Oryctolagus cuniculus: one gene and its partners. The protein of the gene in region 1 interacts with the protein of each later gene in a pairwise test. Links are inferred from orthologs where the notes say so. Each region holds a gene or a part of one and is shown on either strand. Other genes may lie near its edges.

Region 1 (4,073 bases):
CAGGCACTCAGCGCCCTCCGCCGGCAGTCAGCTTTCCCCTTACATTTCAGCAGAGCCAAGAAGTTCTCGGCTGCGCCCCGTGTGCAGGACGCGGGATAAGAAGCCCAAAACAAGGCCCAAAACAAGGCCCCGGGAGGCCGCAGGTAAGGACTCAAGTAACTGGGTCCTGCACCCACGTGGGAGACCCACACTGAATCCCCTGCTCCTGGTCTCAGGTGGCCCTGGCCCAGCCCCAGCTACTGTGGGAATTTGAGTGAACCAGGGGATGGGTGCCCTCGCTCTCTGTCTCTCAAAAATAAAAAAATAAAAGAAAATAAGATAGAACATACTGAACTGACATAAAGACATACACTTTAAAATTTCTGAAATCAGGACGCACTTGCCGAATAGCAGTGTTAATAGTTGTCACTGCCTGGCTGGCGCCGCGGCTCACTAGGCTAATCCTCCACCTGCGGCGCCGGCACCCCGGGTTCTAGTCCCGGTTGAGGTGCCGGATTCTGTCCCGGTTGCCCCTCTTCCAGGCCAGCTCTCTGCTGTGGCCTGGGAGTGCAGTGGAGGATGGCCCAAGTGCTTGGGCCCTGCACCTGCATGGGAGACCAGGAGAAGCGCTGGCCGCAGCGGCCACTTGGGAGGTGAACCAACAGAAGGAAGACCTTTCTCTCTGTCTCTCTCTCTCACTGTCTAACTCTGCCTGTCAAAAAAAAGAGTTGTCACCGCCTGACAAGGAAAAGGCACTCCTGTGAGAGTTGCGAATGTTTTCAGTGGCACAAAGGAAGAAGCTGTGTGGAAGAACCACGACACACTCGGAACTGAAAGCGCTCCGAAGAGGAGCACCGGAATGTGGGAAAGCTTCAGGAACACTTCAGCCATTTACTTTTTACCCCTTTCACATGTGAGTTGATTTGCAATATGCATTGATTTTTAAATGCCCATGTACACCTAAAAGTGTTTTCGATAAGAATGGAAGTCCAAACGACAAGAAAGCATTATGCCCCAGCTTAACTGGCGGTGTCCCTCCTGGTGACACGGAACTCTACACAGCACTGACACTCACAGCAAGAGCGCCTGACCAGCTATCCTGGGGCAAGCGACAGCCAGAAAGACTCCAAACAGAGACAAAGCAGCTGCCCCTCCGACCCTGTGCGCCGTACCAGGAGGGCTGTCTGTCTAACCTTGTCTTCATGTGAAAGTAAAATCGTTCTCGGATTTCCTGCTTAGGAAGCAGATTCCTCCCTGGTCCCACGGCAGGTGGAGTGGGAGAGCCGGGGCAGGAATCTGCTGTGTAAGTAGGAAACTCGAGCACAATTTAACCAAATTAACTCAACCACACTCCTCTCCCGAGGCCCTCGGCTGTACCCCCGGCTGTGGAGAACACCGAGAGAGAGAGAGAGAGAGAGAGAGAGAGAGAGAGAGAGAGAGAGAGAGAGAGAGAGAGAGAGACGCTCCCCCGACAGCTACGGGACAGGTTCCCTTCAAGTCCCACTTGAGCACCACACGCGGCTTCACCCTCCCGAAACGTCCAATTCCGGGGCGCCTCCGCCACCGCCACCCACTTCCAGAACTTTGCCATCACCACAAAAACCCTGTCCGCACTCAGCGCAGGCTCCTCCCCAGAGGCTCCGGGACCCTCCAGGCACTCCACGCCGGGGTCTCCACCCGCGCCGGCCCGCGCGCGTCCGGCTGGCATCTCATCCCCTGTGCGGCGGCGAAGGGCCCCTCATCGCGGGGGGTCTCGAGCACCCCGACACCCGCAGCTCCGCCGGGGAGCCCCCCAGGAGAAGACTCCGCCTGGAGACGGGCCTGGGTCAGCGGGCAAGAGCCGTGCAGCCCTGAAAACGCACAGGCCAGAAGAGGCAAGGGTCCCCCGGGCTGCTCCGGCCCCGGCGACACCTGTCAGATCTCAGACCAGCCGGCGGCCGAGTCACCGAGAGTGTCACCCGCGCGGGGCGCCCCACGGGGTCATGAGTCACCTTCTGTGGCTCAGAGGTCCGGGCAGGCCCGCCCCGCCCTGCCCAGACAGTCCCGGCTGGGAGGGACAGACACAGAATCGGCCGAGAGATAGAAGCGGACAGCTACAAAAGTCCTGCCGGATCAGAGACACAGAGGCAAAGGGGAGGCCACAAGTAAACTCGGGGTCTCGGGCAGAAAGAGCAAACTGACGGAAGCCGCGGCGCGACGCAGGTGACAACAGGTGACACAGACAGCCACCGAGGTGCGGCACCGAGGGGAGGAGGACACCGGCCGAGACCAGCCGAGACCGGCCGCAGCCTGCTTCCCGGTCTCGGCTCTGCGGGCCCGGGGCGCGCCGGTGGCGCCAAGCCGCGCCCACCCCGCGCCCCGAAAAGCCGGCGGACGGACGGGGGCGGGATCTCCAAGCGCTCCGGCCCGCCGAGCCCCGCTGCCGCGGGGTGACCTTGGACCGGAGGCTGCCCCGGGGCCCCAGGTGTCGCGGTCTGTGCGCCAGAAGGGCTGGAGACCGCGGGGGTCGGACCGGAGCGTGGGGATCCCGAACGCCCGCCAGCGGCTTTAGCATCCCGCTCGACCGAACGGGCCCGGGGGCACCCGCAACGCGCGCGCCCCGGCCTGCGAGGAGCCCTCAGCCCCCTCCCCGGCTTTCCTTCCCCGCATCCTCGCGCCCAGTTGTCCCGACGCCGCCGTACCTGCCAAGGGCTCCGCGCTCACATCCCAGACCCAAAGGAGCTCCCGCCGCCGCCGGCGCCAGGCCTGTTCAAGCGGTCGCAGCCGCAACAGCCTCAGCCTGCGCCTCCCGCCCCCGGAAACGCTTCCCGGTCCCGCCCCCGAAACTGCCAGTACTTCCGGGAGTGCGGCCGCGAGAGAACTCTAATGCGCATGCGGGACGCACGTTCATGGGCGGGGCGTAGGAGAGAGGGCTCCGAGACAGCCGGCGCCTGCGCAGTGGTGTCGGGAGCCGGTCCGTCAAGTTTGAGGTTCGCTGACAGGCATTGGAGAGCCGATAGTTGACCTGGCAGAGACGATGTCAAAATCCGTGTCTGCTTCAGCAACGCCCATCCCGCTGTTTGACACATAGTGGACGCTTAGAAGGGGTCCGTGACAGCCAGTGCCCTCTGGGTGGCCGCATTGGCTGGGCGCCAGGGTCAGAGATGGGGGCACCAGAGAACCTGCACTGCCTCCGGCTCTCCCGTCCGCCGCGACCCTGCCCCCCTCTCTTCCTGCCTTTCCTTCCGCGACCTTCGGAGCTGCTTGGAGACCAGGGAGCTCACTTGAACGCGCACCAACCCGAAATCCAGGCAGCTGCAGGGGTCCGGCCAGAGGGGCCCTGGGCGTAGGGTGGATGCCCCTCCCCGGCCAGGCTCGCCCGGGAGGACCGTGTGTGTCTTAGCGCCGAGTGCGGGGTTTCCCACCTGGTCCGCTTGCTTCTTGAGTGTTCCAAGAGGAGACTGGGACTATCCCGGAGAGTTCTATCAGGAACTTCGGGGAGACGAAGCCGCAGAAGTGGGGGTGGGCACAGAACCGCTGCCGAAGATTCTGCTCGCAGGGTCTACGCTCCATCCTTCCCCTCAGCCCAGCTGGAGCACACACCACTTCCTCCAACAAAGCCCCACAGACAGGGCGTGCTAGTGTCTTTCCTCCCTCTTGGACTCCCTAAAAACAAAAACAAACAAAACCACTCCACTCGTTTCTGTTCAGATCCCAGCAGCGGTCCCTTGATCTCAGGGGAGCTGGACTTGGCAAGTCTCAGAACTGACCCAAGACGTCTGATCTAACCTCACTCTTCGAAATTGGGCTTGTGACCAACATCTTGCCAATAAACGTAGAAGTCATTGAGTGGGAATGCTGGGAAAAAAGTTTTTGCAAAATCCACTAAGACTTCTAGTTGGGAATACTCCTAAAGGGCTTTGCCACTTTGTCTTCTTTCTGCCTCTAAGCGGGTCTGAAGTGTGGACGTTCAGCTGCTGTCCTGTGGCTAGGAAGTGACCGGCAAAACAAGCAGACGGAGAGAGCCTGGCGGCCGGGACGTTAGGCCGCAGGCTCCATCTTTGGACTGCTTACCCCCAGGGATTTTCTTGAGTACAACAAATCAACTTCCTGTG
Region 2 (3,356 bases), on another chromosome or scaffold:
TGTAAAATCTGGGAACTCACTAGGCATTCTTGGAAAGGAAAGAAGGAAGATTGTGTAAGTGAAAAGAATTGTTTGACCTCTCATACCATAGGATTATTTTTGCATCCTTTCTAGCCCTCCCTTACTGTCGATTATTCCTGTCACTTCTTGAAATTCTCAACTTGGGCTTCCAAATTAAGTCTCCTAATTTTCCTATGACTGCTCTGGCCATTTGTTTCATTTGGCCTTTCTCTCTGCTCACCCCTTATATATCGCTTCCTCAGGTTTCCCAGATTTTATTCTGGTCTCCCTCATAGTGTCCATTGCCAGCTATATGATGATTACTCTCAGATTTCACTTCTAGTTCTGACTTCTCTCACCTAAGCTTTAAAATGCTATGTTGAAATGCACACCGCACATGCAAGAAGGCTGATACTGAACAACAATTTCTTCTCCTGCAGATGCAGTATTATTTTGTGATAATACTAATGACCTAATCACTTCTCAAAACCTGGGAGTCCTCACTGACTCCTCCCTCACCAACTTTCTACGCTCCCCCTCCCAACTAGTGATAACTGGAGATTTTGTTACATGCCATGTCTTGTCTGCTACCAAAGTATTCTGTGCCTATAAACCATCATGTACTAACCTTGTTTTATAATTGTCACTTTAGATGTTTGAATCCCTAACACCTACCATAGTGCCTATTTGGAAGCAAAAATACAGCAATAGAAGATGACAAACCAAATAGATGGATGGTTTACCTCCATTCTTTCATTTTTATTGCTGATTCCAAAGTAACACTTAAGTCTACTTTTGTTAACTCATTAGCTCCCCACATTTGACATTTCAGAGCCCCTTTGACTCCTGGTCTCCTTCAGCGTGTTGCTCAGTTTCTCTTTACTGTCATTGCCCTATTTCCGACCTACCTGGACCAAGACAAGAACCTTTCCAGTTGCTTGTTTTACTGTTGTTCATTTTGCCTCTCTTTGGCTAAATTGATGTTCCTGATTTCTTTTACATTGTCATTCCTTCTGTTCTTCTGTTCCAAAGTCTTGCATTTCAACTCCACTGCCTTTTATCATTTCTTTGTCATTTTAGTTCCTTCTTTAAAATTGCACACCTATACTTTTAGTGACATAAAAAAAAACTAGAGCAGTCTGAGGAATGCCTGGGTGGGATGACAGTAGTGGGTAGTAGGAGTTAGCATATGTTGTGGCCTAATGGGCCTTTATGAACCATAGTTAAAGATCACTGTAGAAAACAAACATGTAAAATACTTTATGTATTACAGTGGTTGGAATAAAAACAGGGTTGAATGAGTTCCAGAAAGCAGGGTTCTCAAACTCGTGGACAACAATCTGCGGAAGAAGACAACTTCAAAAAGCCAACTAGAGGCAACATGCAGAGAAGTAAGATGAGAGGCGCCTCCTCAGGAAAGAAGACAGCTGGCCAACAGCCGAAGAATGTTGAACAAGCTCTCCCAGGAAGATGGGGGGGTCGCTCGGCTGAGAACCCCCCTTCAGGATCTGTGAGGAAGACAAGGAAGAACAAGCAGAAGACTCCTGGGAATGGAGATGGCGGCAGTACCAGCGAAGCACCCCAGCCCCCTCGGAAGAAGAGGGCCCGGGCCGATCCCACTGTCGAAAGTGAGGATGCATTCAAGAATAGGATGGAAGTGAAGGTCAAGATCCCTGAAGAATTAAAACCATGGCTTGTTGAGGACTGGGACTTAGTAACCAGGCAGAAACAGCTCTTTCAACTCCCTGCCAAGAAGAATGTAGATGCTATTCTGGAAGAGTATGCCAATTGCAAGAAGTCACAGGGAAACATCGACAACAAAGAATATGCCGTCAATGAAGTTGTGGGAGGTATAAAAGAGTATTTCAATGTGATGTTGGGCACTCAGCTGCTCTATAAGTTTGAGAGGCCCCAGTATGCTGAAATCCTGTTGGCTCACCCTGATGCGCCGATGTCCCAGGTTTATGGAGCACCACACCTACTGAGATTATTTGTGAGAATTGGAGCAATGTTGGCTTATACGCCCCTTGATGAAAAGAGCCTTGCTCTATTGTTGGGCTATTTGCATGATTTCCTAAAATATCTGGCAAAGAATTCTGCTTCTCTGTTTACTGCCAGTGATTATAAAGTGGCTTCTGCTGAGTACCACCGCAAAGCCCTGTGAGGGTCTACTGACCACTCACCATTAATGTCTGGTATCTGTAAAACACTTTTTTTTTGTTCTTAGTCTTTTTCTTGTATAATTGATGTTCTTTAAAATTGTTAATGTATAACAGGGCTTATGTTTCAATTTGTTTTCTGTTCTATATTAAACAGAAAATAAAAGGAGTGCAAACTCCTTTTCTCATTTCAGAGTTGCTACCAGTGTATGCAGTAATTAGAAAAAGAAGAAAAATTCAGTAGAACATTTTATTGCATAGTTGACAACATTGCTTGAACGCTGGTGGTTCCATCCCTTTGACACTACACAATTTTCTAATCTGTGTTAATGCTATGTGATAAAAAAAAAAATGCCCTGATTCCTAGTGCCAAAGGTTCAACTTAATGTATATACCCGAAAACCCATGCATTTGTGCTCTTTTTTTTTTTTTATGGTGCTTGAAGTAAAAACCGCCCATCCTCTGCAAATCCATCTATGTTGTTCCTTAGGCATCCTATCTTTGCTCAAATTGTTGAAGGATGGTGATTTGTTTCATGGTTTTTGTATTTGAGTCTAATGCACGTTCTAACATGATAGAGGCAATGCATTATTGTGTAGCCACGGTTTTCTGGAGAAGTTGATATTTTAGGAATTGTATTTCAGATCTCAAATAAAAATTGTTTCTAAGTTTCAAAGCAAGAAATATGTGCTGTGCCTTTAATGTCACCAAAGCTGACAGACTCACCTTGCTCAGGAAAGATCTTGGTGGTATCACAGATCTGTGACTCCTAGATCGTTGACCAAGACTTCCCTGATTCCCCAACAGATGTCAAGTTCCTTCTCTTTAATCCTAGCATAGGGAATCCATGGAGATGTTCCATGGTATTGGATAGCTGTACTTGTAGGTTCATCTAAACATGAGAATTTCCTAGTCAAACCACATATTTTTCATGACTTTTTCAGATCAACTAGAAAAGTAACCATAACTATTGTAAAAATTTTAGAAAATACATTAAGAACAAATATGGAAATAAGAATCACATAAAATCCTATCAATTCAAGTCCCAGCCCCCTCCAAAAAAAAAAAAGACTCAGAATGGGTGGTTTGAAGAGTTTATTAATAAAGGATTTTTCCCCAAATTACCAATATAAGGACACAAATCATTAGGTACAGGCCCACCCCAGTGAGCTCGTTTTTAACTTAGCTGTTATCTCT
Region 3 (3,518 bases), on another chromosome or scaffold:
TGGGCTGGAGGGCCCAGGGCACTCACCTGAGGCCGCACACAGAGCTCAGACAGGCTGCACGCAAGACAAGGGGTGCGGGTGCCACCCCAGCCCTGCAGCTGGGAACCACCAGGCCTGGGCTTCTGGGCTCCTATTGGGGGGGGGGTTCCCTCCCTCTTGGCCTGGGAAGTTCCCGGTTCCAGTCCTGCCCTACCTGGGTTAGCTGCCCTGGTCCAGGCCTTCCCAGGCAGTGTTGGTGCACACAGTGTGCAGGAGCACTTGGCCGGCATCGCTGGCCTGCTGGATGGTCCCCCTCTCTGCCAGCCCAGTCCCGCCCTCACCCCCAGTGCCCGGCATGGCGTCCTTAAGAGCAGGAGGTGGAGGCGGACTCTGGTGGCACTGCCTGAGGAAGTGAACATGGGGACAGTCTGGGGACGAGGTCAGGGACAGCTACAGAGCCCTAGGATCAGGGCAGCTCCATCTGGGGGAGAGGTTCCTGCACACCTGAGGCTCGCACTCCTGCTGGGGCCGAAGGTACAGGGGAGGGAGGGGGCCTCTGGGGCGGGCAGAGCTCTGCCCCCACAGCCCTGCGTCCTCATCCTCTCCCGGGGGCGGTGGCCTCGCTGTAAGGAGGATGGAGCTGCCTCTCTCCACCTGCACAGTCCCCGCCATGAAGCTGCTGCCTTAGGAGACCACAGGGAAGAGCCGCACCAGATGCGCGCTTCAGATCGTGATTTATAGGCACAGCTCCTGGGCCTGGGCTGGTGCACAGCTGCCGCTCCAGCCCGCCCCGTCTGGCTGCCACCTGGCTGCCTGCGCCGTTCTGGGCGGCGGGGGGTGGCATCTCAGGAAAGCAAAGGTGAGGAGGCCCTGGGACATCAGCCTGGACTTGCCAAAGTCAGCATCAGAGAATGGGGTCCTGGAGACACTGCCTGGAAGCAGAGCCCGCCGAGGTTTCTCCTTGAAGAAATCGAGGCGCGTACGCTCTACCCACCACGGCGCGGCTGGGTTTCCCAACCTCTCTCCTGACATTCTGCACAGACGTACTGAGTATCAGCTGCCCGAAGGGAGGAGCCTCAGGCAGATTGGGATCCTCCCTCCTCAGAGATAATGGTGCAAGAAATATGCAAAGAGGGGCTGGCGTTGTGGTGCACTGGGTGAAGCCGCTTGCAATGCCAGCATCACATACTGGAGAGCTGTTTCCGCACTGGCTGCTCTACTTCTGATCCAGCTCCCTGCTAATGTGCCTGGGAAGGCAGCAGAAGATGGCCCAAGTGTTTGGGGCCCTGTTACTCATATGGGAGACCCCAATGGAGTTCCAGGCTCCTGGATCCAGCCTGGCTCACCAGCCCTGACTGTTGCAGCCATTTGGAGAGTGAACCAGTGGACAGATCTCCACCCCTCCCCACCCTCAGCCCCTCCTGCTGCTTGACTTTCAAATAAATCTTAAAATAAAAATATCCAGGGAGACACTCAGCCAGTTAGCACTCAGGACACCAGATGAGAGGCCACGTGCTTGGTGGGAACACCCTTGCTGGGCTCTCAGCGCCCGGGTCAGAGAGAGGTACAGCAGCTGCACCTGCAGGATGCACCACACAGCTCCTCAGGCCAGTGGAATGGAGTACCCTGTCCACACCAGCCCAGGGGGCTCCGGGTGTGCCCCTCTAGTTCTCTGTGCCAAAGCTGCCCTCCCTTGTGAGTCAACGTGAATCTCAGCACCTTGAAGCCTCGGTTAGCTCCAGCTGGCTGCGAATGGCCCAGTATCTGCCTCTGGTGTGGGCATTAGCCAGGTCTCCTTGCAGGCTGCCTGCCCCGCCCCCGCCCCCGCCCCCCCCCCCCCAACACCCAGACAGCACTGGGAATACGGTGCTAAGACAAGGGACTCAGCGGTGTGTGGTCCTTAGTGCGTTCATTCAGTTCTGCAGTTCTGCCTTCTGGGCGTGTGGTAGGAGTGTTTTGCCTCTGCCTCTCTGAGAGTAGGAGTTGCCGTGTGTTTTGCTCTGGCTAATGGAATGTGAGTGGAAGTGACACATGGAACTTGTGCATGGAAGCTTTGAGAAATACTGCATGATTTGCACATCGTCTTCCTCCTGAGGTTTAACTACGGGAGCTCAAGCTGAGCTGGAGCCTCCGTGGGCTCGGGTCCCTGGGCAACAAGGTCAAGCTGAGCCCCCAGCTACGCTGCAAAGAACGTGTGACGTGAATGAGAAACAGACCTTGGTTATCTGAAGCCACAAAATCCTGAGATTGCTTCTTGCTGAAGTACAGTCTGATTAACACAGCCCACTCTTGCTGCTTATCCCAAGCTTCTAATACATACCAATACACTCAGCAGACACTCAGTCTGTGGCCTGGCCCAGCAGTCACCCATGATCATAGGGGACATAGCACATGTTTTAGAGTTGCCAAACCTTGGGTCCCGCAGGTAGAGAGACCCACCCTGGAAGGTGCGATGAGAAGCAACAGACAAAAATTCCTTCCCTTCCCCTGCCTCCGAGGGTGCTACTGGCTCCCACCCCAACCTGGGGAGAGAGCAAGGACCGCCCCAGGGTGGGCGGGCCATGGACAGTTTCACACCCTGTGTCTGGAGGCGGTGAGGGGGGTAGGGGACGTGTCCCGCCCGGCCCAGAGCTGCTCATCCTAGAGCAGCCCATTGAGCAGCGCTGTACTCACACTCGTGGCGTACTGGATGTCCCTCCAGATGGAGGTCTCCCGGGACAGGTCGGAGGCTTCAAAGAGGTTGTCCAGGATGACCTCCCCGATCATGTCGTGGCGGGAGAAGCGGTCAAAGTCAAAGACGCTGAGATGCAGCTTGCGGTCGGCCAGCTCCTCGTAGGGCACGGGGAAGTGGAAGTTCTCGTCGAAGGTGGGGTTCAGGGTCTTGCGGTGCACCCGGGTCTGCAGCTTGCATTTGCGGTCAGGCAGGAGGTAGATCTTGACGTAAGGGTCAGAGCTTCCGCAGAAGTCCTTGGCAGGGAGGTCAAAGGCCTTCAGGATGCGCACGATCAGGGTCTCACTCTCGTAGTCGTAGCGGAGGCTGAAGTTGATCTTCCCGCAGCTCTTGGCTGCCCCGGACTTGGCCTCGTCCCCGTCCACCGACTTCTGCTTGTAGAGCTCGGGCTTGATGCGGCCGATGCTGGTGGGCTGCTCGGCCGCCGGCGGCAGCTCACTGCCGTAGTCCACGCTGGAGACGTGCATCTGCCGCGGCAGGTGGCGCTTGAAAGACGTGTGCCTGGCGGCGACAGGAGGGGCAAAGAGCGCGTGTGTGGTCAGGGCGGACCTGGCTCCCTCTGCCCCACGTGGAGCACCCTCTCCCTCTTGCTGACCCCACGTGTCCTCTGCACACACTTGGTGCACAAGCAGCTGGAGCGGCGCCAGGTCTATATTAAGCTCAGCAAATGTTGGCCATTGCTATCGCAATCACTCTCCCTGCTTCTCTGATATCTGCTTCCCAGGGTTCTCTCCTCGCAGACGGCACTCTGTTCCCTTCTCTGAACCATGCACTCCCTTGGGAGATGGGCCACCCTTCCTCACCCTCC

What was found. The genes of interacting proteins can lie anywhere in the genome.
Region 2: the proteins of ZBTB43 (region 1) and MORF4L2 interact in binary tests that used the Homo sapiens proteins (3 or more experiments, as listed by UniProt). The two-hybrid records come from large-scale screens. The link is inferred for Oryctolagus cuniculus from reciprocal best matches to the Homo sapiens genes ZBTB43 and MORF4L2.
Region 3: the proteins of ZBTB43 (region 1) and SYT6 interact in binary tests that used the Homo sapiens proteins (3 or more experiments, as listed by UniProt). The two-hybrid records come from large-scale screens. The link is inferred for Oryctolagus cuniculus from reciprocal best matches to the Homo sapiens genes ZBTB43 and SYT6.

What each region holds. Positions count from the first base shown.
Region 1 is NC_091432.1:230,445,581-230,449,653, reverse strand, and holds the start of ZBTB43 (zinc finger and BTB domain-containing protein 43), read right to left. Parts: upstream 2,801-4,073; 5' UTR 2,661-2,800; intron 1,922-2,660; exon of another isoform or gene 1,594-1,921; intron 692-1,593; exon of another isoform or gene 380-691; intron 222-379; exon of another isoform or gene 1-221. UniProt on the Homo sapiens protein: May be involved in transcriptional regulation.
Region 2 is NC_091453.1:89,784,658-89,788,013, forward strand, and holds the end of MORF4L2 (mortality factor 4-like protein 2), read left to right. Parts: 5' UTR 1-54; intron 55-1,273; 5' UTR 1,274-1,297; coding exon 1,298-2,164; 3' UTR 2,165-2,843; downstream 2,844-3,356. UniProt on the Homo sapiens protein: Component of the NuA4 histone acetyltransferase complex which is involved in transcriptional activation of select genes principally by acetylation of nucleosomal histone H4 and H2A.
Region 3 is NC_091438.1:56,227,848-56,231,365, reverse strand, and holds part of SYT6 (synaptotagmin-6), read right to left. Parts: intron 3,212-3,518; coding exon 2,653-3,211; intron 1-2,652.